Drosophila melanogaster: one gene and its partners. The protein of the gene in region 3 interacts with the protein of the main gene of each other region in a biochemical or structural test. Each region holds a gene or a part of one and is shown on either strand. Other genes may lie near its edges.

What was found.
Region 1: the proteins of Su(var)205 (region 3) and Stat92E form a complex in vitro, tested with the Drosophila melanogaster proteins (one study listed by BioGRID).
Region 2: the proteins of Su(var)205 (region 3) and Su(var)2-HP2 form a complex in vitro, tested with the Drosophila melanogaster proteins (2 studies listed by BioGRID).
Region 4: the proteins of Su(var)205 (region 3) and Alh form a complex in vitro, tested with the Drosophila melanogaster proteins (one study listed by BioGRID).

What each region holds. Positions count from the first base shown.
Region 1 is NT_033777.3:20,546,286-20,554,926, forward strand, and holds the start of Stat92E (Signal-transducer and activator of transcription protein at 92E), read right to left. Parts: upstream 4,823-8,641; 5' UTR 4,436-4,822; intron 1-4,435. Other genes in the region: DPCoAC (dephosphocoenzyme A carrier), read right to left, coding at 6,624-6,771, 6,842-7,028, 7,285-7,550, 7,611-7,914, 8,421-8,613; att-ORFB (uncharacterized protein), read right to left, coding at 7,299-7,550, 7,611-7,914, 7,968-8,005. UniProt on the Drosophila melanogaster protein: Might play a role in signal transduction and activation of transcription.
Region 2 is NT_033778.4:14,613,344-14,621,862, forward strand, and holds the start of Su(var)2-HP2 (Su(var)2-HP2), read right to left. Parts: upstream 4,776-8,519; 5' UTR 4,524-4,775; coding exon 4,475-4,523; intron 4,403-4,474; coding exon 4,085-4,402; intron 4,018-4,084; coding exon 3,703-4,017; intron 3,644-3,702; coding exon 3,500-3,643; intron 3,419-3,499; coding exon 3,167-3,418; intron 3,058-3,166; coding exon 1-3,057. Other genes in the region: Sec61beta (Sec61 beta subunit), read left to right, coding at 5,557-5,559, 5,616-5,827, 5,891-5,978; CG12863 (uncharacterized protein), read right to left, coding at 6,490-7,219, 7,275-7,463, 7,515-7,909.
Region 3 is NT_033779.5:8,205,438-8,212,924, forward strand, and holds Su(var)205 (suppressor of variegation 205), read right to left. Parts: upstream 5,686-7,487; 5' UTR 5,407-5,685; coding exon 5,293-5,406; intron 5,230-5,292; coding exon 5,113-5,229; intron 5,037-5,112; coding exon 4,916-5,036; intron 4,667-4,915; coding exon 4,398-4,666; 3' UTR 4,189-4,397; downstream 1-4,188. Other genes in the region: CG8419 (uncharacterized protein), read left to right, coding at 842-2,032, 2,090-2,338, 2,401-2,959, 3,013-3,161, 3,217-3,834; Ssb-c31a (single stranded-binding protein c31A), read left to right, coding at 6,009-6,065, 6,122-6,397; CG8372 (uncharacterized protein), read right to left, coding at 6,682-7,272. UniProt on the Drosophila melanogaster protein: Structural component of heterochromatin, involved in gene repression and the modification of position-effect-variegation. Recognizes and binds histone H3 tails methylated at 'Lys-9', leading to epigenetic repression.
Region 4 is NT_033777.3:7,119,920-7,128,194, forward strand, and holds the start of Alh (alhambra), read right to left. Parts: upstream 4,267-8,275; 5' UTR 4,020-4,266; coding exon 3,985-4,019; intron 3,820-3,984; exon of another isoform or gene 3,721-3,819; intron 1,835-3,720; coding exon 1,356-1,834; intron 1,220-1,355; coding exon 1,023-1,219; intron 964-1,022; coding exon 1-963. Other genes in the region: CG10098 (uncharacterized protein), read left to right, coding at 4,741-4,887, 4,956-5,143, 5,500-6,226; CG10068 (uncharacterized protein), read right to left, coding at 6,853-7,553, 7,654-7,903.

The DNA of each region.
Region 1 (8,641 bases), on a different chromosome or scaffold from region 3:
GCTTTCTTAGCACCCGGAAGTTTGACAGTTTCTATCCATCCTAGCATGTACCAATGGGAAATTCCAAAATTCTGAGAACTAAATTAATTTTTTATAATCTACCTAGCTTCACAGTTAAGCAGTATGCGCACAGAAAAAACTAGTGCCTCCTGCGACCTTGAGCCTTGAGTTTTCAACAATGAAAAACCAGTGCATACAATGAAAGTGGTTTGCCAATTGCAGTGAAAAGCGAACTGGTTGGGCTGCTTTTTGCATCCGTTGTTTGTTGTGGGCTGTGTGCATGTAAAGCAGCGGATCTAAGAAAAATATAAGTCAGTTCAGCGTTCGCCGGGGGAAAACCCACAGTTCATAGTAATATGCATTTACAATTGAGTGCCAATTGTTATGGCATACATACATTCTTGACCAACGGATTGTGTTTGCCTATTTGTACGGACATGTGTAGATACTTTTGTATCTGTGCGCACGAGATACAGATTCTCAACAAGCTCTCGCCGGCCAGCTGCCCACTCAAAAGTTGACTTTTCGCTGCCGTCCGGGCAAACAAAAAGCGAATCACAAACAGCACAGAAATACGATGAGAAATGGCATGATAGACAGGGGAGGGGGGAGGAAGAAAGAGGAAACAGCCCAGTTGCACTTTTAGTCGTGTGATTAATATGCCGAGCTAGAAAAAATGCCGAATGGGCGCATTTTAGATAAGCATTTGGTTGGATGATGACTCATCGTCTTCGAGCACCAGGCAATCGTTACTCCACACACCGAGCCACTTTGTTTATCTTTCTATATGTGCGATGCGAAATTTTTTGGGATAAACAATCTGCAGATTCAGATGGAGAATAATCCCCGTAAGCAGTATGCACACACAATATCTGGCCTATTGCCACAGCGAAAATTCTGGAAAACGTGTTATCTGCAAAGTGGGCGTATAAATAAGATATAGCCGCAGATAGAAAAGATTCCCATTTTCATGCGAATTGAAAAGCTCCAAGGAATCCAAGTGCGGCAAGTGGAAAGTTTTATGGCAGCAGCCCGGCACTGATAAGACTGGTTGGAACTACGTATCATAAAAGGTAAGTTGGGACAGTGATACCTCGTTGCGCGGAATCAAACTTTTTGTATGGAGCATACGTTCTGCACAATAAAATAAAATGGGAATTCAAAATTCATTTGAAATATCAATAAAAATAGTTAATAATAAAATACAAAATATTGTGGGCGTAGAATTTGTATGTCCAATAGCAAAACCTTTTAGCTTTTAAAGTTCTAGCGATCTCGACGTTCATACATATGTTAGCAATAATACAATTTATTTAAATAAACCATAAAAGTGTTGGCATATAACTTTATAAAAATTCGCGTTCTTTGAGTTGGACACACCAATTTGAATATTAGTCATGCACTCTGTGGGGGGAAAATTTGTATGGGCATGACATCAAAGTTGGGATTGTTATGCCCGTAGAGCTTTGGTTGGGGTCACTACAATTTCCTCGGCCCTTAGTATGGCGTCCAAGCATTTCTGACCACTTCGAAAACCGACGATTGCAAACACCCAAGCGCGGGTGTGCTGCCTTTGTTGTTCCTGGCTGTTCTTTTCGCTTTTTGCTTTTTGCTTTCTGCTGCTTCGACATTTGTGCCAGCCAGCCGCGTTCATTTTATATTTTTCTTGTTCAATTTTTTATAAACAACGCACACACTTACGATTGCCCTGTGAGAAACGAGAGTCGTTTGTGGTATTTGTTTTTGTACTCATAAAAGTTTAATAAGCATGCCTCAGTGTTCTTTTCCTCGTGGTTGTGTGGGTGTACGCCGTACATCGACAATGGAAACCTCGCCGTTGCACCACCCCCAACCGAGCCCAAAGTGAGCCCCCCCACCACCACCACTTTGCCACACCAAGTATTATTTAAGTAATCATTTATCGTTGCTGCTCGCCTGACATTTTGCACGATGTTTGTCGGCTTTTGTTTCGTCTAACGAGAAACACCGGATCGATTGGGTTATATTGAGCTAAGTAATGTGTCGGCACACGGTTTCTTATCACCACATAATGCTCGTTCCGCGAACAGATCAATGTTTGTTGTCACACTTGCCCCGATGACCTCACTTATCTGTTCATAAATCCCACCGATCTTAAGCTCATAAAATATGTGCTCAAGTCTATTTGTCAAAAAATAAAGTAATTAAGGAATATTTGTCCAAACTGTCATCTGCAATACAAATACAATCATGGTTGGGTATCACTCAGTTATCAGTCTTGTGTTGGTGCTCAATGGTTCGAAAAGTGATTATTCGACTGAAGTCAGTCAGGTTATCAAACAATACAGCTACCAAACATTGTCTTTTATTGCTTAACTGTAAAGTCTTAGCAAAATTCCAATAAATGGGACTCCTTATCAGCGGAGTGCAACAAAAGATTCGCAGAAATGTATTAATCCTCTATTGAATCCATTTTTTACTGCTCTATATTACTTATTTGTTTTTCAAAAACTAATTAGCATTAGGGTCAATATTTCCATAACCAATGATTTGGGTTTTTCAAGTAATAAATAAATATGATCTTTAATTTTTTAATAATAAGTACAGCTTTGATTACGAGCTAGACAGATTTTCGGGTTTCAAACTTGATAATTGGGCATATTGACAAAAATATTTGTAAAATACGTTGTAGTAAGTTCCTCAAAGTAACTTCCTCAGAAACTATAGATTGAAGTTTTGATTCGCTAGTTCGGGGGCCATCTACTACCACCAGAAAAGCATTTTGCCAGCGATAAGCAGGCACAATATGTGTAAGTACAGTAGGCCCCCAATCTATTGAAGGCGCAGCAGAGTGCTCCATTTACGACAATGAAATGCAACGCAATAAACGACTTTGATAACGAGGTGTCAATGTAACAAAGTAAATAACGAGAGTCGCCGATAAGAAGCCGGCTTGATTTGCGCTTGAGGATAGTGATTCGCATAATAGCGCAATAATTAGCACTGCCTATATCGAAGATCCAGAAATAACTTTAAACACATGTGGTGGACTGGATTGGTGGCGATAAACTTTGCTGCATAAATACATATGTTCAAATCTGACGGGAGTGAGTTCCAACACGATATAGAAGAACTAATTGGGGAAACGAACTTTGAGCACCCTATAGTTTTAAGTATCGTGGCATTTAGAGTATATCTGTTCATTCGAATCTATATACAATATATTTTCAATATATAAAAGCCACATTACTACTTTATTTCAATTCAGGGTGAACTTTAAATGTAAAATATAGTTTCTCAGACCGTAAATACAATTCTGAATAAAGTACAATATTATATTGTATCTCCCTTTCATCTATAAAATTAATGATTTTAACCACTGTTAATAAATAATGGTAGTTATATAATGTATGCGTTTTATTAGTTGACATAAACGAAGAAACCCCTCTGCCAACTAACCTATGTAAGTTGACCGTCCACCTGGCCATTGATTGGAGGACCCACTATGACCAATGATAATCTACGGTGTCCACAGCAATGCGATCGGGTTTATCAAATGTGAAACGCCAAGGGGTTAGCTAACGTCGGCGTCGCTGACAATCGTAATTTGTCCGAAGTGGTAGAAGCCAGCCGGGTTATAGCCAGGCCAAGAAGTCATGGTGGAGAGAGGGGAAGCCCGCGACGGAGGAGGGGGCAGTAAGCGACCGACGACAGCGAGCAAGATAAAAGTGTTGAGCGCGCAGAAGTCGGCGACGTATGAAAGCAAGAGTAGCATGTGAATATGAGAATGATAGGGCCCCGTACGTCAGACACTTGAAAAAATAGTGCTAGAGTAACAGTTAAATATGTGTTGCCAAATGTTGTGATACCAGGTGTTGAATCGGGCCCCAACACATGGGATTAATTTACCAATGCCTTATACAAAAAATTGTATTATGTATTTATACAAAAAAGCTTAATTTTTTAAACAGAGGACATTAAATATATATAATTTTTAGTTTTATAGCCTCGCTTTCTCGCTGTGCAAGGGAGCGAGTGGGACGGTGAGATGGGGAACAGCTAATATACTCGATATCAGTGTTGTTGTTGCTGCCATTTGTGCTATTGCACTCGAAATTCTTGTTGCCTTTGTTTTTATGGGCTTTCCAGGAAACAACAATGAACGGGGAAGAAGAAGACCGGGAAACAGGAGCGTGAAGAACACATGTGCATGTGTGTGGGTATTTTGTTGATGTATAAATAAAGCGTCAAGTGGAAACACATGATGATGGTGCATCGAATTTGTGGCCAAAAGGCAGAGAACCTTCGTGAAGGCCTTGCGGAACCACCACACGCCCACCCACATTATTTGCGCAGTGCACATTTGCAGCGGAGTCCTCCCACCCACACACGCATTTATATACGTACCCCCCACCACTCGTAAATTTGTTGCTCTTTTTCTCCTATTTCTATTTACCTTTGGTACACAAACACCAACGCACAACACTGTGTAAACACACACGGCTGGCTGGTATCGGTTAGTTTGTATTGGTACGCCTGCCGCTGTTGCTCTTCGATATTTTTTATTATGTATTTGCCGTTTTATTTTTAAATCGCGCTGGCTTCACGCACACACAAACATTACACACACGACGCAGTGCGAGGGAGACGGAACGCACATGCACACCCGCACACGCACTGAGAATTTAGAAAAAAAAACTAGAGTCTCGACCAAAGGAAATCCTATCAGTTAAACGAATCCTTGAAAACAAAGTGCACTTGCAAAAGAATTCAACTGGTTGCGCATTTGAAAATTGCTCCGCATTCGAACAATTCCCTATAGTGGCTAAAAAACGACTGCCGCGTCTCTAGAGTTGGAGCGAAAGCGATCCACATGCGATACTATCGGACGATGAACACATGTGAACAATCGCTGTTAACAGTGGGTATCGATTCTGATAAATCTCTGCCAAACCGGGAAGATAGGAAATTCTAATTAGAAAATAAGTTGATTTAATTTTATAGAGCAGCGCAGTAAAATATTGTTAACAACCAGGGACCAAAGCTCGATAACTATGGTAAAACAAAATTTTTGAATTGTTATTACTTATAAATTTTTGACTTGGAATGCACATAATTAAACAAATAGCATTTAGGATTTTTCGTAAAGATGTTCTAAAAGAAACATTAAGACTAAACAAGTTACGAAATATATATCTCTATCGTGCTAATATTCCACTAAACTTTGTGAGTTAATTAAAGAAAAATAAGTTGATTGAAGTTATTATTTAGAAGTAAAATGAATTTGATGGTGGAAAACTCTGATAACCCGAAGTGCAACCCTCGCACCCCTGTTAAGTTAACAGCACTGTCGGCTGCTAAAGAATAAACAATTTGCGAAGCTAATTGCGATAAACAAACATTTATCAAAGGGGGTTTACACCCATTTTCGCATCATTGTGGCGCCGCAGATATGAGTGCGCATGTTGTCTGTACACACACGAGCTGCCACCCACACATATGCACCGCTGGCGGTGTAATTAATTGCATTTGATTGATTTGTCCACCGAAAGTCAAGGTTACCCCAGACGCAGAGAAGCACAATTAATGGTCTTTTGCCAACTCTTGTGTATTCTGCATATAAACATACGCGACTTCTGAATTTTCACCTGTTGTGCGCAGCAACAAGCGAGCATGAGAATGCCACCCCCGACCCTCTTTAAATGAAGAGGGTTGGTGCTCGGAGAGGGGTTTTTTTAAGGCTGTGCCCCGTCTAATCAATAGGCCTTAAATAATTAATCCATTCCACAATCGGCGCAGCACAGCAAATCACTCACCTTTCAGATTGCCTTTTTGGTTATGGCAGGTGTTGGGGGAAAAACGCTTTTTATCCTTAAAACAACACCGCCTGCAGCTCACGGCTGTTGGGCCACCTAATTCCAGGGCAAATAGTCTTAATTATCACTTTTAAAACGCACTAAATTTACGTTGTTTTCGTTTTGCGAGCACTCGAATTTTTGCGAACGCGACTACCAGCATATTTCGATATACAGCACCCCCGCAAAAGATGTTATCGCGTAATCGCCGGAGGTGCCACCTGTCACAACCGATGGCGCGCGTTTTAAAAACGATTGAGATAATCGATCAGTTAAACAATTTTGTAAATTTTAATAATAAAAACACACTAACATACAAGAATTACATAGTATATGCTGGTGTGAACACCCTCAAATTCATGACTATTTTAACAGTCGCAGCGCCTTGACATTGAGTTGGCAATACACAATATACAAAATGTTCGGGTAAATCGTAATCATTAATCTAGGAGTGTTATTGTCAAAGCAACACCATTGAATACGAGGTCCTGGGGAGCAGTATGTGCCAGGCGAGTCATTATTCAGACAGTTTATTGGCTGATATACTTTCGGCTTACGGCGATAATAAATCAATTACGGTTAATAACAAAGTTAAGCGCTTTCGGGTGTCTTCACTTCATCGCTTCTCTCCCTCACAACTAACAGCTAAAAAATATCTAACAATTAGAGCATGTCGGTGCTTCACTTCTATTTCCTCAGCTCATCCATCGATCGCGAGACTTAAGATCAAAGCAGTGCGTTTTTGGTGTGGTGTTTATGGGTGACGAGTGGCAGGGGCAGGGAGCTGGGCTATTTCTCAACCCGTCTCAAGTTGGCCAGCTCCGTGAGCCACGCCTTGATCAGATCGTAGGTGGAGAAGCTGATGCCCACGGCGATGGGTCCCTTGATCCAGTTCATGCTAAGTCCCTTGTAGAAACCGTTCTTGACGCCCTCCTCACTGTTTGGAAATCGTAATTAAAATCGCAATTAAAATATGAATAAAATCGTTGACAAAGATTTGCACGCACCGATAGATCTTGACGAGAGTCTCCAGGATGGTTGGGTACCGATCTCCGCCAGCCGTGTTCACCCGCATTGTCTGCATTCTTCGCCGCACAATGTCCAATGGATAGCTGGCCGTTTGCCCGGCGGCACCAGCCGCAGCACCGAAGGCCAGCGAGACTAGAGTATTGGGTTTATTGTTGCCGACCACTTCTGCAAGCAAACAAGTCATTTAGTTGGCAAATTCAGTGAGCACTTAATTAGAATATAGGTAACTTCTACTAGCATAATCAAAATAATGACAATGACCCAGAATGCCGGTTTAAATTGAAATTATCTGTATAATTCCACAATAAACTTGGGGCTTAAAACCGAATTCTATGGACATATACAATATACAAGAATTTTTAAATGAACATCTCCCCTAAGTCTATAGAATTTTATATTAGGATATAGGTAGTATTCCTACCATAGTATTCCCGCTTAAGAGTCTCGTAGGTGAAGAAGGAGGTGCCCGCATAGGGAATCACGCCGAGAACGGTCGCCCAGTAGCCGCGGAACAGCGTCCGCGGACCCTCCTCCACCCAGATCTTGGTGAAGACTTGTCGCAGCGTCCGATAGCCAGTATACCGATCCGTGACGGCCATGCGGGCGCGTGCCAGGTCCAGAGGATACGTCAGCGACTGTGAGGTGATTCCCGCCAGGGAGCCAGCCAAAAACCGACGACCTTTCGTGCTGCAAAATAGAATGATTCGCCATGAAGTTGGTGAGAATCTAGAGCATAGTACAACTCACTTGGTGCCGTCCTTGTCGACGTGCAGGATGCGACGCCACTGCTCGTGGGCCGTGAACTGTATGGCTGCGTAGGGCACGATTCTGGCCATCGTGGCCGAGTTCCCCCGCCACAGGGCCAAAACGCCCTCGTTGGCATAGGTGTTTTGCAGGTAGCGCAGCGAGGCTCGAAACGAGAAGGGCACATCGTTGCGGATCTGGAAGTTGATCTTTGTGCGGTCCAGCGGGGCGATGACCGTCTTGGCCAGCGCCCCCGCCGCTGCTCCGGATATCAGGCTGATCACCACCTGGTCGATTTTCTGGCGCACTGAAATAGTAAATGGTAGAAAATGAATAGAAAATCTCAATATGCATTCATACCCGAATGCGCGACTATGGATAAATAAACGGAGGGACATAGGAAACTTTGACACTCCACTACGCTCTATAATTTAGTTCGGTTTGAAGTCAAATACTCGACATTTTACTGTCGACAAACACAAAAATTCAAGAGTTTTCATTGTGTCGCCAATGTAATTTAGCGTTTCCCTAATTTTTGTTTGGACATGTTTGGCATTCAAGTGGAATCGAAGTGCCTACTATAAAATGAGTCCTGGATTTAAGCTCATAGTTAAATAGGTCCATTTTATAATGCTTAGTAGTTACTAGGAATTGGAAATCACATTGCGAGAAAGTTCATTGAATTTGATTTTTGTACATGTTAATTAAGATTGTAGCTTTATTTACTGCCTTCAAGTATCAAAATGTTTGAAATCCTTGGCTATGCGTCTGGAAAACAAATCTCTCGTGAATTGTCTTTTGCGCCTTACTTACTGGGTGTGACTGTAGTGGCGGGTACGAGGACTACTCCAGATGTTTCCGATGGACTCAGCTGGGTGCGGGATGTGTCCGCATCGTCCAGGTCCGAGGACAGCGTCGCCGAGGCTGTCGTCATCGTGCTCGAGAGCTGACTACCCGTGGACTTGATGGACATGGCGATGTTGGGCTTCTCCAGGAGTCGGCTCATCGCAGACTCGGACTGGGGGACCTGAAAT
Region 2 (8,519 bases), on a different chromosome or scaffold from region 3:
TTTCTGTGTTAACTTGAAAACCACCTTCTATATCAGATTCAGCAATACTATCATTAGGTTTCTTTTCGTTTTTCTTACGCTTGTTTCTGGACTTTGGTTTCGAGAGTCTGGGTTTGGCTGAATCCTGTGAAGAGTCTTTTGAAATAGGCTCCGCGTCCTTTTCTGAAGAAGATTTTGTTTCATCTATATTAGCCTTTAACTTTGAACTATCCTCTTCCTCATGTTTAGTATCGTTCTCTTGGTGTTTCTTATCAGTCTGTCTACTGTCCTCGCCGGTATCTCTTATAGTTGGATTCGAGTCTCCGCCTTTGCTTAATGCATCCAAATCCTTATCCTGATCTTTCATGATTTTTTTGGGACTGGATATTGATGACAATTTCGTAAAAGCTGACTCCTTTTGATTTAGCCTGTCACTCGGTTGCATTGCACTGTCAAAACTTTCATTACTTTTTTTATCGATTATATTTGTGCTACTTGACGTTTCCGTCTTGTCAAGTGGACCCACTACCGCTTCTTTTTTGTTACCAGATTGCTCTGTTTTTTTATCCTTCTTAGAAGGGTTTTCATTTAAAAGTTGTTTTCTTTCAGTGGACTGAGATATGGCGGATGGGCTTTTGTCCTTTTCGGATTTGGCCGCATTAATAACAGATTTTTCTTTACGACTTAATCTGCCGGAGTTTCGCTTATTCTTAGCAGTGACAGGATCACTTTGCTGAGTCTCCAATGTACATTTAGGTCGCATGCTAATTTCCAGAGATGCATTCTCCGCTTTCTTTGCATCCAAATGGTCGGAAAGTGTGTCCGTTTCAGTTTTGAATTTTTCATTTCGAATCCTGCGCGATTTTCTGCGATTTGATCGTTTTTCCTCAACTTGTTCCGTATCAGTTTCAATAGCCGTGGATTGTTCTAAATCCGTATTGGTACAATCTATTTGCGGTTTTGGACATAATAACTCCTCTTTTTCGTCTTTCTGTTCCGATTCACTAGAAGTTAAATGTTCTTCAACACATTTTATGGAAAAAATAGAAGGTATGTCTTCATTGGAATCTGCTATTGCCTTCTTAACTTCTGTCTCACTGGTCCTACTCATCTTTTTTGCCTTCAACGGTTTACCCTTCAACTTCTTCATTTCAGTCTTACTAGAGCTAGGATTTTCATCCGTCAGTATGGAAGTATCTGATGCTGTAGTGGTTTTGGTTATCTTTACATCCTTAGTTTCAGACGCATCAGGTAGCGACTTCAGCTCTATCTCTTTTTCCTTATCTATTGTTATTAAATCTTTGGCCAACTTGGAGACTGTCACTTTCTTTTCCATCGGAGAGCGTTCGTGTGAGGAATGACTTTCCGCTGGCGACCTTCCTAGTCTCGGACTGCTTCGTCTCATTGTATCATCCATAAGTAGTGTGAGCTCGGTTTTCAGTGTCCGCTTCGACCGACTTTCCCTTAGGTTTTGAGGAGTTGCTTTATCAGACCTAAGCGCTCTTCGCGGCACCGAACTTTGCAAAGCTTCAATTTCTTTCGATTTCTTGGGGGTATTAGCTGGGGAGGAATGATTTCGTTTCTTGGATGGAGTGACTGAGCTAGACGGAATATCAGAAACAGACAAAGATTCGGCTTTGGGAGCTTCATTGTGTTCTTTGTCATGCTGTTGATTTTTTGCTACAGGTGTTTTCTGTTGTTCAATTGGATCCTGGTCAGGAGCAGGCAAGTTTTCTTCTGCAGGTGGTTCATCCTTACTAGAGGATGGTGCCTTAACTGGAGACGGTTTTTCCACTGGATTTTCTTTATCAGCTAAAGTTTGGTCTTCGACTGAAGATTGATCATTCTGAGCGGGCACGACTTCCGAAATGGTTTCTTGCTCTAACTCTTTAACAATTTCAATGACTGGATTTTGTTCTCCCTGCACAGATGTCACTGATACCTCGTTGGCTTCAACTCCCTTACCAACCTCAGCGGCTAAGATCTCTTCAGCCAATTTAAAATCCTCAGCAAGTTGGGAGTCGCTTTCCTCAACAATATTTCCCGCTTCTGCCTTGGCTTCAGCCTTTTTAGCTGGTAATTCAACTTCATTAGTAACTATAACCGAGTTTTCATTGGTTTCCTTCGAATTGCCATTGGGAGATTCCTTCTGAGTTTCCTCCTTATCCTTATCCTTATCTTCCAATTCAATATGATTTTTTGCACTTTCGGATACTTTGCTTTCGTCCAGTGCAGTATCACTAGGTGTGTCCACTTTACAAAGCTGTTCTTCTTCGACCTTTGGCGTGGACTCAGACTTATCCAGCGCAACCCTGTCCGGAGCACATTTAAGATCCGTTTCTTGGTGATTTGACGCCATTTCAATATCATCCTGGGGTAAATTGGTAGATCCTGTGAGCTCCTTGGCATTGTCCAAATCGCTAACTAGTTCATCCTGTTTTATTGGCACTTCTAAATTAACCGTCTCCGTTTCCGGATTTTCTTTGCTCGTATCTATTGAGAGAGGAACATTTGTGTTCAAGCTTTCAATTGTATTTTCAGTCTCTGCTGTTTTAGCCTCCTCCTTTGGAATAATTTTGCGAGGCCTTCCGCGTTTTCTTTTGACTGGCTCTCCTTCCCCATCCCGGCAATTAGCACTTTTTTCCTCCATGGTTGCTCCACGGTTCTTACGCTGCTTTTGGCCACGAGGGCGACCTCGCTTTGGTAAGGACTCGCTCTTCGACCGACGCAACTGGGTGCCCAAAGGTTCCGGTTGATCCAGTCTTTCGCTCGAATAGGTTAGCTTTCGCACGTGACCCAATTGCGAGGTGCTAGAATCTGCTGGAATCTTAGATCTGGATAAGCTACGCGACTTTGAGGCAGACCGCTTTTCGAACTCGTAAGATCGCTCCACATCGATCTCCATGATTTGCTCGGCCAGGTCGAGACTCATGCGCTCCACAGCCTCAAGCGTAGCATTATTAGCTACGTCATACAGCTTGCGACTACCGCTAGCCTTGCTGGCCGAGGATTTCGCACTGCTGCTCGCCTCCGGTGGCTCCAAATCCCGCTCCTTTTTATTAGCCTCTTTGTCACTGGCTGCGAAACAAAAAGCAGAAAAAGTTACAAATGTAAGGGTGTAGCAGAGGTAAGGGTTCACGAGGGCGCTCAGAAATGGACGCCCCAATGGACGTTGGTGCACACTTACCCGCTGATTGCTCATTAGCATGCTTAACCTGTTGGGAAGAAGAGGGTTTCTTTTCGTTGGAGCGGGATTTTCTCGCACTATTCTGTTTCTTATAGATTGGCGGCGGCTCGGCGGAACTGAGATTACTCAAATACGACTGCAGGCGTTCGTAGGTGCTGCTCAAAAAAGACTCCTGATCATTCGCATGACGCTGATTCAGCTCACTCTGCGGCTCCTGGCCCTCGTCGTCGGAAACAACAGGTGTCACAGTGTCTACACGGTTTATGTGTGTTTACATATTATGAATATTATCAGAGGGTTGGCAGTATCAACTAGTTAATAACGCTGACTTACCCGCCACCGATGTGGTCCTGCTTGTGTCCGTTGAAATGTCGATCACCGGCTCATCCTCTTCATCGGAGTCTTGATCGCCGTAAAAGTCCGATTCATACTCATAGGACGAATCGCTGTCAGAGTCCCCGTATAAGTCACCCAAATCTATGGAAAATACGAAGTGGTTATGCACAGCCAGATATGTAGCACAATATCGAACTTACTTAATGGATCTGTTTTGGGTTCAAGCCGCGAAGGCCTTAGATCTGTTTTTTGGGGCTTTACAATGGTAACGGTCTTGTTTTTGCCGGAAGCCCATTTATCACCATTTGCAGATACTGCTGTCTTGTTGGCCACAGAATTGGTTTTCTTGTTTTTTGGACATGCATAAGTTTGCCCAGATGACATGGCAATGTTGCTGCTGCTGCTATTGCTAATGCTTCTGTGTGGGGCAGCATCTTGTGACTTTTTGGAACCTGCCTGAGAGGTACTGGGCTTGGGTACGGTCAGCCTGTGCGATGGACGCATTAGGGCTTCTCCTAAGTGTAGGCATAAAGTAAATGTTATTGATAAAATGCGTCATTGAAACCATTGCGAAATGCCCACCTAGGTCGTCCACCGAATCGAACGACTCATACCGTTCGCGCCTCTTGCTCAGCTTTGACTGGCTGCTCTTCCCGCAGAAGAGGGCTTCCAAGGCATCGTTGGACTCGTCGCTGGAGGAGGGAGATGGGGGGCGTCGACGCCTGTCCTGCGACTTCGAGCCAGAGCCCTCCTTAAGCAGTTCGTCGTCGAGGTACTTGCCATGGAAGAGCTTTTGGAAAATGTCCGCATCAATCGACGACGAGTTGCTCGAGTCTGATGAAATGCGCCGCTGCCGCGGAACGCCGGCAGAAGATGCTGTCGGAGCACTCGATTTAATCCCTGTGCGCGCGCAAAGTAGACAGACAAATCACATTAGAAGTATTTATAGCATTGGAAGCTGAAATCACGCACCTGGCAGCACCAAGTCTTTGTACTCGTCTAAATATTCAATGTCCTCCATACTTCACTTTTCATGTGCGTCGGTCGATCGGTGGATCAATTTGCAATCTTTCAACTGCGCCGCGTCTTATCTATTTCCATTAAGGCGAATCGCGAAAAGTTTGTATGACTTGGCATTCCTTTAGCAGAAGGACCTCATATACCCATTAGCGCACAAATGCAAGCACTTTTTCGTTCTTTTCACCGCAAAATATTCCTTTGAAATCCAGCAAAGATGATGCCGCTGCAATTAACGTGAACGTTGTACAGATGTGCAAAAATGACAAAAGCGTTTAGTGAGCCCGCGCTTCGGTGTGGCCGTTCCGATTAACAATGTTTAAAACACGGTGCTTAAGTCACTTAATAATTTTTAGTGATTCGCAGTCGAACCAATACCAGTTAAGCAAAAATATTATTTACAAATTGTTTGGTGCGCGCCAAGAAAATTGCGCTTGCCCAGCTAAAATCTAAAAATAACTTACATGCAAGGTTGCACATTATCGCTATCAAAATCGATTTCATTGATTTTCTATATATTCTATATCTATATGATCTATTAAATGCGTGATTAAGTTTTTATTCTATATAATTATATAGTTATTAAGTATGTATTATATAATTAAATCAAGGGAAATCAAGAATAATAGCATTTATTATCGGAGTTTTAATAATAGCCAATTATATTAATAGGATTCATTCAAATTGATTTAAACAATTCATTTTGTAGAATTAATATTTTATCTATTATTGTTATCTATTAAATTCATAACTTGAATATATTATTTCTTCGTTTTTTTTTTACTAGTTCATTTTAGAGCCAAAGCAGCCGATAGTTGAGTTGCCTTAGCCTGTCATCTCCAGCTGTCTAAGTGCACGATAGCTGTCACCTCAGCGTCACGACCTATCGGCAGCGGTGCCACCACCAAAGTGACGTGGAACGAAAAAAGACGAAGCGACACGAAGCCGAGCACGTCAGATTCAGATTCACGTTCAGATTCCACTTCGCCCGTTCATATTTTCCAGGTCAGTCGGTCCAGAGGAACAGATAGCCCAAAATGGTGAGTTAAACTAGATGGCAATTGAGTGCGGCAACTAATTAAAACACATTTGCCAGCCCGCTCCAGCCAGTTCAACGTCCGTGGGCAGCGGATCGCGCTCCCCCAGCAAATTGTCGGCGCCACGTAGCGCCGGATCCGGAGGCGGCAGCACCCTGAAGCAGCGCAAGACCACCACCAGCACCACAGCGGCCCGGAGCCGTGCACCCGGCGGAGCCGGAACTGGTGGCATGTGGCGTTTCTACACGGACGACTCGCCCGGTATCAAAGTGTAAGTGAATAACTCGGCTATATTTATATTAAAGGCCCAGTGCTAATGAGACTTTTGCTGCAGTGGTCCCGTACCCGTGCTGGTCATGTCGCTGCTCTTCATCGCTTCCGTCTTCATGCTGCACATTTGGGGCAAATACAATCGTTCTTAAGCCATGCATTTCGTAGCCAATAAAATACTTTCACCTCAACGAGCGTGAACAATGTCGACGTCATCATTTCTTTTGCGGCGAGATAAGAAGAGATCCATTCCGCTTGTTGAGGCATTGGTGTGTTTCCACATGAAATTAATTATACCTAAGCTTAAGTTAAAAACCTGTTTAAACGTAATGCATATTTTCAAAATTTAATCGTTTTCCCCCAATCCGTTCGTTCATCCGGCGGGCTGAGAATTCATTCCACAATTTATCGTGGTCATGTGCATCAGAAATTCCGCGCGCAGCCGTTGCAATTCAAGAACTTGTAAGACATTCAACGAAAAGTGTTAAGAACAAATAAATTTTGTATTAAACAAATGTGTGCCCTGTTGTTTATGGATGGTAGTGAAGGTTTTGTCAGTGTTGTTCTTATAAACTGCATAAATGCATACAGTCTAAAGTGCCCCTCAGTATATAAAGAAATGCAATTTGTATTTATCTTTGTACATATATATTTGTATGTATCTTAAAGACACTGAATTGTTGTTTCGTTCATAAAACACTGTTCCCTGAAGTATTTTGAGCGGTACGAGCATCGCTTTTCCCTGTGATTTCGTTTGCCGCACAAAAGGCAGCCTTTGGTATAGTTCGTCTTTCTCTTGCGGAAGTTTGGGCACTTGGTTTCGATATGGCCTTTCTGGCCGCACATCCAGCAGTGTTGTTTGGTCTGATAGAAGGAGCAGTTGTGTCCCTCCTTCTGCGTGCACCTTCTACAGTCGGAGCAATGCACATAGTTGGGTTTCACACAGGCATCGCAGGACTCGCAGTGCTTGTACGTTTGGCCATTCACCGAGGGGCACTTCCCGCAGCGGTTGCAGTGCAGGTTCTCCTTGGCAGTGTAACAATCGCATTTTTGGCAGTACTTATAGCCCTCTTCAGGGGGCAATTGAAGAAGTCGCAGTGGCACGTTGGTGAACAGCCTCACGGGTGATCCACAAAACCGACTCTGCTTGCCCACATTCGTATATCTAAGGTGATTAGTGTAATTGATCCTGTATTCACACATTTCAAGCTCAGGCATTTCCTGCCTGATGTGGTTAGCTGAATAATAGGGATATATCCAGAATATGGACAGTGGAGTGGATGGCAATCGGTTGATTTGATTATGCAGTTTTCTAAGGCTGCGCAGGGTGTGCGAAATCAGTTCAGTGCGACAGCCAAATGGAGGATCTGTTACAATCACCAGTCGATCGGAACTGGCAAATGAGACATTTTATAATTGCGGTAACCATCATATAATAAATATATTACCTGGTACCTGCCAGGAATTGTTCAAAGGGCGTTCGATCGTAAAAGAAGTGATTATTGCACATATTGTACAGACAGAACTCTTCAGGACCCAGATATTCGGCAAATCTCTCATCCAAATCCAACAGAAAACTTTGCAATTTGTGTCGCAGATGGAAGTGTAGACGCGGTGCGCCCATGCATATAACCTTGCTGATATAACTAGATTAGAAAGGGCTTAACTAAATTGCTGGAATTACCCACCTAGCTCCTATATGCTCACACTGATTTGCCAAGAAGTTGAGCGCAGCTTCATCAAAAAAGTATTGGGCATTGACTTTGTCCTGGGAAAGCGCTGTAAGGCTTAGTGTGGGATCACAAATGGCGGGATTAGCTGGTTTCCTGCATGGCAAGGGATAGTCCCTTTTGGTGAGTGCCGTCCTGGTGGTCTGACCCTTCCACTGATCCGCTGGCAAGTGATAATTGCAGAGTTTTGAGTCCCGATGGGCTGAACAGGCATAATAACCCTGGTCGGGAAGTTGGGATTGTCGGTTGAACAAAACCGTCGGCCCGTGCTCGCAGCGGGGGTGCTGATCCTCGGGAGCAGCATCGTCTTCCTCCATTTCAAGCAGCAGCTTATCGCTTTTATTATCAAACATTATGCTAAAACGTTTATTTATCGTGAACACCACCACACTGTCAACAAGCCGGGGAAGAAGAAGAGTGAGCTCCGGCAGTATTCAAAATGTAAACATTCAACTTTTATTTTAAAAATAAAACAATGCGATTTTTTAATATACCATTCCTTTTCAGTTTAAATCACATGATTTTAGTTGTTTTATTTAAATTATTATAAATTAATTTATATTCGATTGATTTAAGAAAGTGGCAACGCCAGGCACTATTCGATACTTGTATAGATAAATTAATGGAAATTATGCCTTGCCTCCTCTGGTCACACTAAAATCACAAAAGTCTATAAAAGCAGCGTGCAACCAGAAAAATTTCTTTTAATTGAAAATTTCTTGGCGAGCTGTGGTGTGTTTGAAAGAATTCCGTAAAATGTGTACTCTAATGCAAGGCCATGTGGTCTTACATTTGAAAAGAAAGAAAAGCTAAAATATCAATCTCATGCAACTGCAATGAATGGATTAAAAGTAAGTGAACATTAAAATGCATGAATTTAATAGTTACTTGATGATTGTTCTTTTTCTGAAGAGTCGAGTGCCAAGTCGCAAGATTTGGCATTCTTTTCCTGTAGAAAGAATA
Region 3 (7,487 bases):
GAGTAAAAGAGCGAGTGTTGTAAATGTGTGGGGGCTTTGGCAAGATTAGGTGGGAGAGAAAGCTTCGTTGCTTTTGTAATCCTCACAATGTATTATGTCAATGTAAGTGGTTACTTGGCCATTCGATCAGCTAATGGAGCTATTAACGGAAGTTTGGAGCAGCTAGTTGCATTCAGATGAAAAAATACTCAACTGTTGTTATCCGCTATTATTCGAACAATTTTAAAAACACATATGTTAAAAGGTTATTAGTATTAATATGACATTATGGGTTTTCTGTAATATTGAAATTATTATATATTCACTATCAATTGCTCAAGTAACGTGTAGTAAACTACACACCTAAGTTTACCATTGCCACATTTAAAAATAGAAGTAATTTGAACACTCCCTTTTGGTGGTAAATGAAAAAATAATTGATTCACTACCGACATCGGGTCCATCTAGAGTTTCACTTCACGGGTTTAGCGGGGTACTCGGAAGTTGAGACGTTCCTTTGGTTACTCCGTTGGATCTTCTCCCACCCATCATACCACGAAATACTCTCTGGATTCAGAAAATCAGAAAGTCAATCAATAGCAAGTGACAGGTTGTCATGAAAGAACTATTTAGAATGAGCAACCACAACAGATAATTGCACAATTGTCAGTGTCAGACTTTTGCCACCATTCGCACTCGCAGTGCGCCGTGGGTTTCCAATGAGGAATGTAATTGGATTAGGCAGCAACCAAGTCCGAGACCCAGTCTCAGTTTCAGTCCCAATTGCAACGGGAACACGCGGTGGTGCTCCAGATTGCCTGGAATCCGTAGTCCGAGCTGCAGGATTGCATAACCGGGAAGCATGAGCAGGGAAAATCGCTCGAAAATCGCTTTCAAGCGAAAAACGAGTAACGGAAACAAGAGTGGCCAGTTAACGGATTACGAACGCATCCGAGGGGATGTGGAAATAGTTGTTCCGAGCCCACCTCCTACTCCAGCTGTGCCACCCAGTGCATCCTTAGGGAAACTTAAGATAAAGTTGAGTTCTGCCAAAATTTCCTTACGAAAAAACGCACAGACTTCGCAGAATAATCTGCAGACCGCTCCCTTACCAGACGCAGTGCGTCGCAAATCAGCACCACAACTTTTTACCTTTACTATTGCCCCAAAGAGCGAAGTGACTTCGAAAATACATCTACCCTCAGTGCCAAAGCTACCGGGTTTGGCACCAAAGAGCTCCATCCGAAGATCTAGGACTTTGGGTTTGTCGAATAGTGCCCAGGGTGCAGGGTCATCAGGTACAGGGCTATCCAATGTCGAACTCGGTGTGCAGGATAGGGACAGTGGCAGTGAGCCCACTAGCAGCTTGGCTGGAGGAGGTAGCTCTACTTCGCCTGAATCCCTTTTGGATAACATACTCAGCGGTGCCTCCTCCGTTTCCGTACAAAGTAGTAGCAGCAGCCAAGCCAGTAATGCTACGGTGGCACAGCCCATAAAAGCAAAGGAGCAACTGCATCCCAAGAGGCTACTCAGCTTGAAGGCTTCTCCGGAGCTGAGAGTATCTCCACCAACTCCAGACACTACTCAACCCCAGGTCCAGATGCCAACTCAACTTCTGCTTTCACTGACTCCAAGACCAGAGGTCTTTGATGCACCCTCACCACTGACCAGAAGTCCCTCACGATCTCCCGGAATCTCTCCCCCCGTGTCACCATCACCCAGCATTACTCTCAGACCGAGTACCCCTCCCGAGAACACCGTAATCTTCACAGATGATCTCAAGTGCGGCATCTGCCTGGATGTTTACACAGATCCCAGGACACTGCATTGCTTGCATTCCTTTTGTCTCCAATGTCTGGTCAGCGAGAACTTTAAGGACGAATCTTTGTGGGATCAGGATCAAGCTCGCAGTGAGGAGCCCTCGAATTACAGTCTAAGATCGGAGATGGGTGGATCTAGTGCGGAACTTACTGCGACAGTATCACCCGCCAGGCAGCGAGGTTCCAGTTTTACATTGAGAAGAAAGAAGTCCATGGATCGCCTAGTGATAAGGGTAAGATAGCAAGATACAAAGAGGTTATGTCCTATAAAACCCAATTTATTCGAACAGTCCAAGAGTGACGGAAAGCGATCGACCAGTTCCATCGGTACCCGATTCACCGGAAGTTTTGCCAGCGAGGTATCCACCCGCTGCATCCGCTGTCATACCTGTAACTATCCCACGGATCTTTCGTTAGGTGGAGTACGTCAGCTTCCACAGAACTACTTGCTAGTGAGACGCATAGAGGTCTTGCGACTACAGGCTGGGGAGGATGTAATCTCCAGGGTCTGGTGTTCTCTTTGCACAGAGGAGATTAGCGTAAGGAGGACGAAGTCATTAAGTGATTTGAAGGCTGTCTAAAAGCGTATAATCTTTTCCAGGCCACCTACCACTGCATTAGCTGCACTTTAAACCTCTGCACCTTGTGCAAGGAGGCACACGAAAGGCAAAGGAGCACCGCTAGCCATCGAATGAGAAGCATCCTGGAACTTAGACGCGCCAGGAAGCAAAAGCAACAGCAGATGGGATTGGGAGATAGTAGCAAACTAGTGCTACGATGCGGAATCCATACCAACTTTGAGCTGAAGGCATTTTGCACCAACTGCCGTCAACTGGCATGCACCGACTGTTTGGTGATCCTTCATAAAGGCCATCGACATGAGACCATATCCCGGGCAATTGGACATCAGGGTAAACTACTCAAAGAAGCTACGGATCAAACTCGTCCCCTCTGTCAATATGCGGAGCACTCCATTGAGAGGTTGAATGCCATAGCACGTGGAATCAACGACCGGTGTGACGACATCCAGACTCAAGTGGAGCGGTACATGCAGCAGTACATGGATGCCCTGACAGTCCATCGCAAGACTCTGCTCCAGCAAATCAGCAGAGCTAGGGAGTCCAAAGTGGAGGTAGTGCTCAAGCAGCAACTTGATTTGGGTAAGACATATTTCATTTGGTTAAAGCTCTAGTTATCTGACGTAGTCCTGTAGAGAAACGCACTCAGCAGGCCATGGATGCGGTTAGATTTAGCCAAGAGCTGTGCGAGATTGGTGCTGATGTAGAGATTCTGAGTTATGTGACTATACTTCTAAGGCGTTTGGAGTACTGTCAGCAATTTAAGCCGCCTGTGGATCCCAAGGTAGGTTACCAAATTGCTTGTTTTATTGTTTTATAAAGTAAACCATTTTACCCAGATATCCGACTCGCTTCACTTCCTACCAAAAATCCGTGCTCCGTCGACAAAGGACCAGCGCGATATCCCTCTATATGGCATCATCACCATGCAGGTAGTGGAGCCTAGTCTATGCACCCTTGAGTGGGAGGGATTTTCACAGCTGCGCCTCCACAAAAAAGCGGATCTTCTGCTTCACTCTAGAGATGCCGACGGGGTTTCCCTCTGCCACGGTGGCCTGGAGATCAACTGCATGCTGAAGTACAAGGACTCCAGTTCCAAGTTTCTACCCGTTGAGGTGTCGGACAATCGTGATGGCACCTACAACATATCCTTCACCCCGGATGCCCAGGGCACGTTGATTCTCACGATCACCATTAACGACCGGCCCATCAAGGGAGGTCCTTTCACTTTTCAAGCGCGACAGGTTCGTCCGCATACGGGCATCTACCACTGCTGCTCCTTCTGTTCCGGAAAGGGCAACCGGAACGTGATGTGCTCGTGTGAGGGTCATATGCCTGGATATAGTGGCTGCGGTCATGGACATGCTGGACATCCAGGGAGACGTCATTGGTCCTGCTGTGGAAATGTCCTTGAGAACTCGGAATGCAATGTGGCCAACAAACTGCTTAATTCTTAAGTAATTGATTAGGATGCAGGGCTATAAAACGAATAAATTAACATATAGCCAGGTTTCGCCATTTTGTTTGTTCATCTTGTGAAATTTCAAAGATCTTGTAGTTTATACGCACGCGCAGATAGACAACAAGGATACTTCAAAATAAACGTTTTTCTACCTGCAAAATACATGCATTCCAACAGACCCGACAGTCCATTTACAATGTGCACACAATAATCTCAGATTGCTAAGGCTACAAAATCCCTTTCGACCTCTGGAATTACCAATTGAATTCTCCTTATTACCATATGGTCAGCATATGCGCGTCATATCCTGACCGTTGAGCAACAAGTCGCAAATAAAAGTTACTTATATAGGCTCCAGCAGAATAAAGGTTTTTTTTATTTATTGAAAATGGTTATCATAAATACAGACACTGACTCTGGACATTTATGGAAAAAAGTCCGATGCCTTAAGAGTTGGTTGGGTGGTTTTGAAAGCGCCTGCAAGGAGCTATAATTCTAAGTGGGTAATTTTTCGTTAAATGTATAATCGTTCTTTTTCGCTTTCGATGATCCAACTGTTTAATCTTCATTATCAGAGTACCAGGATAGGCGCTCTTCGTAGAAGTGGATTACCATTCGTGGGATTTTTTCATTGGCCACTGAGGAGGGCACCATTTCTGCTTGGTCCACGCCTTTGAACTGAATGAGGAATGTCAGGCGGCCATTATTGTCGGAGGCACCCAAGATCTTTTCGGCCTCCAGGCCGCGATCGAATCCGGTAGATCCTGAAACGGGAATGGTGTCCTGCTCCGCATCTGTGGTACGTTTTGATTTATTGCCAGAGGGCGCTAAATAAATAAAATAAAAACAAGTAATTAATACAGTGCAATTTTTTAATAGATGCATTTTTTTATTGCAAAGACCATCTTTTTCTTGCGCATGCCATTCTTGCGAAGGACAAAATTTGAGATACATATGTGAATACAGTTTTGACGAAAAGGGCAAATAAATGCCAGTGGATATTGTAGGTGATGACTATTGTTATACCAATTTGTGTACAGAAAATATTTGTAGGTACACTCAATTCCATAGCTTACCTGTTGGTTCTTCGGACTTTCGCTTGCTTGCTGTGGACGTCGAACTGCTGGCGCGTCCTTGAGTTTCCTTGGCCTTGGCGCTGCTGCTGGGTCGATCCTTCTTGGAGGCGGCTGACTTCTCCTACGGACCGAAACGAGATGTAAAGGAAATCCTAGCAAGCACAACTGTACTTGGCATCGCATTGTACTTCACTTACCTCATCCTTGCGGCTCGCCTCGTACTGCTGGATAAGATCCTGGCAGTCGAGATTGTTCTCCGGCTCCCACGTGTTCTCAGTTTCGGGATAGCCCTTCCATTTCAGATAGTACTCCACCTGCAGGTGGAAAATGGCGTTTTAGGACCAAATATAATGGGACGTCTGGTTCGGAAAACTCACCTTTCCCTTGCGCACCCGCCTGTCGATGATCTTTTCCACGGCGTACTCCTCCTCCTCCTCTTCGGCATCGGAAACCTTTGCCGAGCTCTCAGGGTTGTCGATTTTCTTGCCCATTTTGTTTTTATTAAAATACTTCACACGACAAAAAATAAGGAAAGAATTAGCACAACCGCACACAACCGCACACACACGCAAAGTACGAAAGGAAAGTACGATTTTTAGTCGACTCTCTTTGCTTTCATGGCTCACCTAGATTAAATAAGATCTACACTTTATGCACGCAGCTAAATTGGTTTTTATAAGCCTGTGTGTTGGCGCTAGAAGACTTTCCACAAAATGAAAAATCTGCAAAAAAATGCGCGTTCTAAAATGACGCCGGCCGAACAGTGTGCGAAAGTACGCGTGGACTGCTAAGACTACGCTTATCTATTTTCCGATAGATTTGCACATCGTATTAATTTCATTTTAAGTCTAGAAAAATGTTAACACTAAGAACTATCTAAATTTTACAACATAACTATAATAATAACGTAACTAACTGATCGCCAATATCTGTTTTTAAAAATTTTGTAATAAATCGATGAATCGATTAAGGAATCCGTTGTACCACAACTATTATCGACGCGTTTCACAGCACTGAATAAGTTGCGCGAATATTCACGAATTTTTTGACAATTTGCGTTTTGTTTCTTCTGTTTTACGGAAATTCTATAAAAATGCCCAAAACAAAGAAGAAGGATTCGTCCTCAGATAGCGATAGCGGTCCAGATGATGTAAGTTAACTAGAAATACACCAAAACTAGGTATAACAAGTTAAAACCTCTTTCAGCGTATCAAGCCGGCAAGCAAGAAGGCGAAGGAATCTGATGCTCCAAATTCAGATCCAAAAGATTCGGGCGAAAATGGTGCTACATCTTGGACCCTGGAAGGACTTCGCCAGGTGCGAATCAACGAGTTCCGCGGTCGCAAATCGGTGGACATTCGAGAGTTCTACGATAAGGGCGGCCAAATTCTTCCCGGCAAGAAGGGCATCTCCCTATCTTTAATTCAATGGAAGAAACTCCTTGAAGTGGCCGAAGAAGTCACCCGCGCGATCGAGAATTAATTGAAGTTCATCCACATGCCAAACTAAGTCGTAGCCATATGTACTAACTATAGACATATCCACTGAATAAACGTTATCTTAAACACTAGTAATTGAAAATCTGTATTTTCACAGTTGCTGAAGCATTAATGAATGACCAACTTAATTGCCTGATAGGTATTTTCCTTATCTGCTTTGTGGTGGGACTACAAAAAGCACACATATACATAAATGAATGAATCCTTTATTGGACGTCATATGTACATAGATTTGTACATTGATAGCATTTGATATAGATATGAATATTAAAAATAGATGCCCAGAATGGTGAAGATGGACAGGAGAATGGCAAACGGCAGCCAGGTCTTAATAAAACCCCCTATTCCGACGTAGCGGCCGCAGACAAAGAGCCACATGCTGAGGATAATCATGTTCCATGCGGTGCTGTCGTAGTAGCGCATGTAGATGAGTGCCGTTGCCACATGCGAGTGGCAGTTGTCACAGAAGATATTGTGGATGCGGGTGCCGTAGAGCACAGATGCTTTGGAGACCGCCTCGTCCCAGGCGTAACTGCCGCCCACCATGTGCTTGGGGTGCAACCTTATGTACCGGGTGGGTCTTCCAAAGGCCATGTTGTCCTCTGATACGAAGTAGGGGCCGGCGAAGTCACGAATCACACCGGACGAAGTGCAAATGCCCATATGTCCGATCATGGGCATCAGCCAGGTGAGAACCGGAATGGGAGTCCAAACGATGCAGTAGGGGAAGCGTTGGTCCTTTACGTTGATCGGAGGCAGTCTATCCGGAACGCCATTGCCGGCTCCTCCTCCGGAACTGGCCATCGAGATCTGAACGTCCTCGGACTGTTGCCGCTGCGGACTTGGGTTTGTCGACATTATTACACTGTATTAGGTTGATATTTGTGCGGGGAAGCCACAAGAACAGTCACTCACGGTCTTCCCGGCCGTAATGCCCATGAAACGAGTCGCTAACAATTCCAATTGGGCTTTAATTGTACGATAAGGAGAAAATAAAGCAGTCGCAGTTCACTCACATCTACCTCAGTATTTATTGACATGGAGATTGACAGTGTTGGAAAGCATTGCTGTAT
Region 4 (8,275 bases), on a different chromosome or scaffold from region 3:
CTCATTGGTTGTGGAAGGAGCTGAGTTAAGTCCACTGGCAGCCGAACTGCTCACATGAGTCCCAGTACCGCCCGATCCAGCTGTAGCAGTTGAAGTCGACGAACTGGGCTGGGTGTTGATACTGCTCGTTGTGCTTAAGCTGCTGGTGGCACTGGGTACTTGATTGGAGTCTTTGTTCTTAGAAAGCTTTGATGAGGATTTCTCTCGTGTCGACGAGGAGTTGGAAGATGTTGATGATGCAGATGAATTTGTGAAATTGTTATTCGCTGAATTGGTAGAGCTATCTTTTCCATCCTTGTCCTTGCTGGATGTGGATTTGCTTAAGCTTTTGCTATGTTTCTCCTTGTAGCTGTTGCTACTACTGCTCGAACTGCTGGCCGATGATTTGGTGGTTCCTGGTGCTGTTGACGATTGACTGCTTGTCGATTGCGTAGCACCACCGCTCGAAGCTGATATAATTCCCCCACTTCCACCAGGCACGTTTCCAGCACTGCTGGTGGACGAACTGCCTCCGGGCAGATTATTGTTTAAACTATTGCTAATGTTGCCGATGTTGCTACTCCCTGGTAGTACACTTCCTCCTCCTGTCATATTGCTAGCACTTCCCGAATGCACAGAACTCGAGGAGGGGTTGGGAGCCCCTCCTGTTGAGGATGACGAGCTACTGCTACTGCTGCTAGATGATTTACTTGATGCATTGCTCTTGCGCTGCTTTGCGGAAGATGATACGCCACTCCCACTGCTGCTTCCAGCAGAGATTCCAGCACTGGAGCTTGCATTCAAAACATTGCTGCTGCCACCAGCACTGCCACTGCTGCTGGTAATCTTTATGATTGTGGCCGAAGTTGTCGCGGAGTTCATGGTTGAATCGATCTCCTTCTCGGGCGACGAACACGAATCGGAAGAGGTGTCATGTTGAATGGGTTTATATGGAGGTATTGTTTTGACGTTGCCGCCCTTTTTCTGCAAAGTATCAAGAATTTGAACGGAAAAATCACGAATGCTATCCCTCACATACGCACCAGTTTGCTGTAATGGTGCTGACAGTAGCCGCAGTACTTCACATTATCCAGATAGTTACCAGCCTCCTCGCAGAGCAATCCAAGGCTCTGGGCGCAGGTGACGTGGAACTGCTGCTTGCAATTCGATTTGTTGCACTGCATACAGGCGCCAACATTGGCACGATTTGGTTTGCCAATTTCCTGGCAAATATAGCAAGCTGAAAATGGAAACGGATTGTAATTAATTATTGCCATTTAGCTAAGGCTAGTTTAACAAACAGGGGTTATAATTTTTCAATGAGTAACATTTTTTAAATAATATATGTAAATATAAAACATTTAAACATAGCTTACTCTTCGAGTACCGCTCCTGCGGTATTAATGACAATATGATGGGCTCCATGGTGGTCACATTCCCAAATCGCACCTCTGGGATGTACAGGGCGCAAACAACGTGCGCCCACCCGCTATTATCCGTCTTCTTAAGGGCGCCATCCCGCGAGGGACATAGTTCGCATCGGACGCGAGAGGTTCGCTCCTGGGACTCGCACTTGCGACAGTACCAGGGTCCAGTGGGAACCGTCACAATGCCATAGCACGCCTGGTGCACTGCCACAGTACAGTTCTGGCCGTCACAGTAGACGAGCGGGTTCTCCGGCCACCCCCGCTCGTCTGAACAAACGCAACAGCCGCCCACCATCTCCTTCATATCGTCCAACTTGAACTTTTTAATCTTGACCAGCTTCTTGTTCAAGCTTGTGGAGTGAATGGTGTCGTCTTTGCTGGAGTCTAGCTCCAGTTTCGCATTGAATGAAGACGGAATTTTGTTGGAGCTGCAAGTATATATATATATATATATATATATATATATATATATATATATATATATATATATAATATAAGAATTTTCCTTAAGTAAAAAGAGGATTTTTAAAACTCAATATATTTGGGTCCAATTAACGTTACCAGAGGAGCGTTGAAAGTTGAGCGAAAAGTTGAACATACATAAGTATGATGCACTTACGAATCTTCTGAATTTTATTTGTAATAGTATTTCTAATAAAAACAACGACTTTTTACCAAATTTGTATGGAATTAGCAGTAAAATTTATAAGAAATTTATTTGTTCAGCTTTCCTTATCAAGAAAATAAGCATGCTCTTTACTTTTTTCTTTCACATTTTTGTAATAATTTAAAGAACGTAGAGTCTATATAAAACATTTTTTATCAGAGCTCCGCTCCACCCCGCTCGAAGTCGACGATCTTGAGATAGAGGTTCCGGCCTTTCTCGTTATCGATAATATGCTGCTATCGAGGCAGGTGTCTATTGGCAAGGTCATTCGCACTCGGTTTTTCCACAATAACATCAACAAAAACAGTAGCCCTATAAAATATTATACCTAATTGTGCGCTTGTATTTACAACTTGGCCTTCGAAGCGAGAGCGAGAGAGATGGCACATGGAGCCCCGTTCGCAGAACATTTACACGCACACACAAATAATCTCTCAATGTCAAGGTAATTTTGCCGCTGCTTAATAATACATGCTAATTATGTATGTCGAATCATTTAAATAAAGACGGCCGAAAATATAAACAGCTATGCCACCGAATATTGATAGGAGGTTTTAGCACAGCAATACGAACAACAAATATTTTTAACTTTCACAAAACGGGCAACGCACACACAAACACTCTCTTCTGCGGCATTCCGTGGGCTGGTGTTGGTTCATTGAACCTGATTTAAATGGGCTACCAAAAATAAAACAGGAAAATGCAGCCCTGCCCCGAATCCAATTGGATGTCGATTTGGTCCCAATGTGCGATCGAACGCAAATATGTGGGTCGCGGAGATTTCACAACAACAACGGCAATTATTATAATAATAATAATAACGGCATGCGGGTGCTGTTTCTGTTTCATTCATGCATGCGCATCTGTGCGAGAGATCGCGGCGGAGGAGAGTGCGGGTCTAGTTGTACCGTTATTGGGTCAGCGTGTTGCCAACTGCCGAAAAAGAAAAACGCAGCCAGCGTGTTGCCAACAGCGGGTTAGCTGGAGTTCTCTAACTTAACGGTGTAAAATCACACACACTTGGCCATATGAAACGAGGCCGCTCTGCACGTTGCTTTTGTAATGAAGAGCAATGCACTTTCGACACAAGCAAACACACACTGTCGTCAGGCAGAACAGATACATACACACGCACGCGGGGAGATGCTACATTAATGTTGACGAAATGCCGGAAAAGGGGGCGCGCTTTTGGGGGGTGGAATACGGGTGGGTGTGTGTACATGTATATATGTACCCCATTTAAAACATCCTTCGGGGGAGTTTTTGGGGACTGGAGGGTAGTTTCTCCCAGTTTCCGCAACTCGTCTCTTAAAGCACTGCTTAAATTTCCTTCAAATTGTGTGTATACCCGTGGCTTGAATTTATTGATTTTTATGGGCAATTGCTTTAATTTCACTGGCCAGCAGGGCTTTAAAACGTCATCAGCGGTGTGCCACCAAACAAAAAGAAACTAGTTTCACGGCGGGGAAAATGCGCGCGGTCAAAGTCGTCAAGCAACGCACAACAAAAACAGAAAATATCTATTTTTTTCAGGGAGCGGTCTATCGAAAACTTGAAATTCTTTCGACTTTCTTGCTATTTTCACGCAGAGGTTTCTTATTGGCCGCTAGCACCCTCACAGAATATTGATTTTCTAAATTTCTTTACCCAATTTGGCACTTTAAATAAATGGTTTCCAGCCCGCAGCTGTGGGTTAGCGTTTATCTAGCTTTTCGTGGCTTTTCTCAGCACTTTTCCGCGTCTCACAGTCTTCACAGCCGCCCACGAGTAGCAAACGCACGCAAGTAAAATAATCAACACTCAAAAAAGGCGCTGAACAACACCATCCACCAGCGCAACAACAACACTGTGTGCGCGAGTATTTACAACTACAGCTACAACAACACCAGCAGCACACACCACTCCACACACCTTGTAACTTGTTTGTTGTTGTTTCGCTCGCACATCGGGAGCGAGCAGTGCGGGCGCGAGAGGGAGACAACACCACCTGCTCTGTATACAAATGCAGCTTAGTGGATACAATTTTGCTGGATGCGCGGTTTTTCCAATTGCCCGAATATCGCGAAAAGCTTGCAATTCCGAGACGTTCCGCGTTTTCCTTCTATGCAGACAGGTTTTTGAGCATTTTAACGCCGAAACAAGAAAAACCTCGGTTACCAGACGAATGGGCAGATTTCTAGCGATGGGTACTTTATCAGAGAAGGGTAAAATGCTTAGAGATGGGATGCGACTTGTCTGCATTTTTCCAGATTCAAAGGAAAACCCGATATTCATTATAACTTCCCTCTCTTATTCAATGCTGCTAATTATGGTGTAAATGAAGGTTGTAATTTAAGTAAATCGAATTCTTATTGGTGTTGGATCATAGTATTGTCAACATTAATGCTCGTCATTTAAATAATGGAGATGTATAAGGAAATATTTTATATATAGAACACTAAAATACCTAATCCTTATAGTTCTTTTAGAATTCTCCATACTAAACAAATAAATAACGTCCGATGTTGCCAGACGAGTCAACGGCTCATCGCCACGGTTCATTTCCACGATATATATTGGGCAGTGTTGAATAACGTTTGAACCTTAAACAGCTGTGGGAAAAATCAATTTTGCAACTCCCTCGCGCACTTCTGAAGAAACTTCTTCGCGAGAAAAGCACGGATAAAAATGACCAACGGTGACTGCTTTGTTGTTCTGCCCGAGAACTGTGCCGAAGGAACTTTGATCATCGGTCGCAATGCGGAGGACGAAAAAAACGTCAACGTTGCTTCGGAGGTTTGCTTCTACGATGCCACCGAAGTGCTTGAGGGGAAGGTAAAGACAGACTCCTCCGAAAACGAAGCTCGATCAATGACTCACCACCCAAACACCTCACATTTCAGACTGACGGTGGAGCTTCTGCCGAGACAGGCGGCGATATGTTGCGTGTTATATTGCAAAAACCGCAGCCGGGTCTCTGGGGTGGGGACTTCGGGGCCAATGAACGCGGAGTGGCCCTAGGTCTTACCTGGGCGGCAGGTGAAAACGAGGCCAAGGACAGCGACAGCCTGCTGGGCACGGATATAGTGCGGTAAGTTCTCTTTCAATATCTGCGTATCAACAAACTATGCACAACAAAGCAAATTATTTGCACTTAATATAAATAACTTTCATCACTAAAAATGTATGTACATATGAAGTCTATATAATGCAGAACGTAAATACTTATTCAAAGGATGACATTTTGTGGCTGATGTTTGTAATTAGCATTCCAATCCTTTCGTGTCCTTTAGGGCTTATTAATGCTTGAAGATACTATTATTTCAACATTATTTCATAAGTTAATTAAAAACGAATCAATCAGAAATTTAATGTTGTCGAGAAACTAAGGCTTTTACAATTATTATAAATCATGAAATAATAAATCATCTAATAACTTTTTTGTAGCTTGACTTTGGCTGTCGCCAAAGATGTGGACGATGCTGTAGACCGGATTGGAGCTTTGGTGGCCAGTCACGGTCACGACAACTCCAAACTAAACTTCATCGCTTGCGATGCAGCTGCTGCCTGGCTTGTGAGTTGCTCTGGCAAGGTATGGGCCGCTGAGAAATTGGAGGCCAGCTTCTTGCGTTTGCCCTCCGGAGGACTGGCTGTGACCACTGTGGTGAACAAGTCAAGCGAGGGATTAGATGACGCTGCCAGTTTTGCCGCTGCTCACGATGCAGAGGCCCAGGCCCCGGCAGTGGATTGGTGTGGTCCCAAGCCAGCTGGCGATGGAACATATACCCAGCACGACATGTTCGAGACGCTGCGATCCGCCAGTAATGCGAGCAGCTCGAGGGCGGCTACCGTTTCGGTGCTGTCGGTGAAGGGAATCTCATGCCATTGGTTCACCGGGACGCCCAATGCCGCCGAGTCTGTGTTTAAGCCGTTCGTTTTTGCCCCAAATCCGAGGATCTCGCCGCTAACCCAAGTGCAAGCGGAAGCGGACTTGACGTTGCTGCACAAGCTACACTCGCAACGCAAGCCGGCCGCCTTGGAGCACTTGCGCAGCTTGGAGCTCTCCTGCGTGGACGAGCTAAATAACTATTTCTCTCTGCAGGATCACGCCAGTGACGAGCTGGACGAACTGCTCAAGGACTGTGTCGAGGCGGAAGTCAAGTTCTATCGCTAGACCAACGAATACTATCTATATGGATACTCCAAAAACTAGCTTGCAAGCTCTATTGAGCATCGGGATTTGACTTGAGCATTCTTATGGCATTACCAAATAGGCTTTAGTCGTCAAAATATTTTCTTGTGCAATCTCTACTGATTTTATTTCGTTTAGTTTTTATGCTTTTGCGTGATATTTAAATTATTATTTATTCTGTCTCAGTGGGCAATCTCCGACTTGAATTTAAAGTATTATTGTGTGACATTCCAGGCTTAGTTTAACGATTTACATACTTGCATTCAAATATATATGAATACATATACAAATATACATTATATATGGCTCTCAAATAAACGCATAAAATCTGCATTTATACAAAAATTAAAAGGGCTTGTCGTATTTGGATACTTATTTTAGGATTCCTTTTTTTTTTATTACAAAGTGATTTAGAAGCGAAATGAATTGATAATTTAAATTGAAAAATGACAAGATAATTATTTTATTTAGCCCCACTCTAAACATGTATTTACAAAAATGGTCAGCCTGATCTGATTCAATCAATTCCCAATATCGTCAGAGTTAGAAATTATTCAGATACAGCGAGATACAAATTCATTTTCACATTAATTGACCTATTCGTGTTTTTAGACGGATTCTACAACCAAATTGGTCTTAAAAATAGTGCTATCATTGTGCAAGGCCTCTAGTTTTGTAATTTCAAATGACTGGTAAATCTCGCGGAAGTCCATAATGTTTCGTGGGTCGCTCTCCATCCAAAAGCGGTCAAACTCGAAGAACAGATAGCAGTACAACTTGTGGAAATCCTCCACGGTGCTAAAGTCCTGTCTGTGCTGCACCACCAAATTGTAGAAGTGGGTTTTGGCGGCGCCCGTTTTCACTAGATTGAAGGCCATGGAGGTGAGGTTAATGCCGACAATGGCGTAGGTGTAACCCAGGGTGGGATGCATCGAGTGCAGCAGGACATGTTTGGCGGCGTCGTTATAGGCAGTTGCAAAGTAGAGAAGGTTCTCTAGCCCGAGCATGCCCATTCCCCGAAAGTCCGTCTTCGGATCGTCGCCCTGGAAGCCGATGTCCTGCCACTGTTTGGTCACGCGACCGGTGAGGGGAGTGTCTGGCATCAGCAGTTGCCACAATCGCAACAGCTTTTGCTCGTGGTCGAGGTTATCCGAGTCGTATTTCTCCGCCCGCAGCTGTTCCACCTGATGCATCAGTCTGCGGTAGCCCCAGATACTCGTCACGCATGTGCCGAAGAGCCGAGCAAAATCCGGGTGGACATTGTTCTTGATGCGTTTCGCCTGCATCACAATGCGAGCAGCGCGAGGAGCTGAAAGTATTGGGTAATGATTAATAATATTTAACTTAGTGTAAGCTTGTAATGATTATGGTGCTTTGTGCACAGAGATTATACTATTCCTTGGACTAACCGAAATCCAGCAGCTCCGCGTTGCTCACATATGGCGCCGCCTCATCAAGGTCAAGTACAAGTCGTCGTATCTGCGGCCTTTTGGACAATGTGAGGGACCTTTCCACCTGGCTGGTTCGGCTGGCTCCGGCCTTCGCTCCATAGCAAATCCTCTGGAGCTCCGAGAGCCTGGTGAAGGCGTGCAGGAACCACTTTATAAAGGGCCTTATATAGCTAAAAATAAAAGGCAGTATTCGGTCGAGAATAAACATTTTACTAAGGCGGCGAAGAGAACTAATTAGATTTCCCGATTTCGTTTGTTTGCGCCCGGTTGCCAGGGCAACACATCAGGATTGGCTTTTGATCACAGCCTTATGTTTCTATCTACTATATTGCACTTTTGAGAGTTGTCTTTAGAAAGCTTTTATGATTGACTCGCAACAATAACAAATCCAATGTATTATTAAAAAAAACCAAACAGCTGATCAGGCAGTGTTGTAAATAGCGGAAATATGGACGGCATTTGAGGTATTCTTGATAACATTCTGAAGTTTTCTTTACTTTAAAGAGGCACTTTAATTATGCCTTAATTCTAATCGTTTTACATATAGTTCTATAATTGAAAATAGATTTTCGAAAAGGAT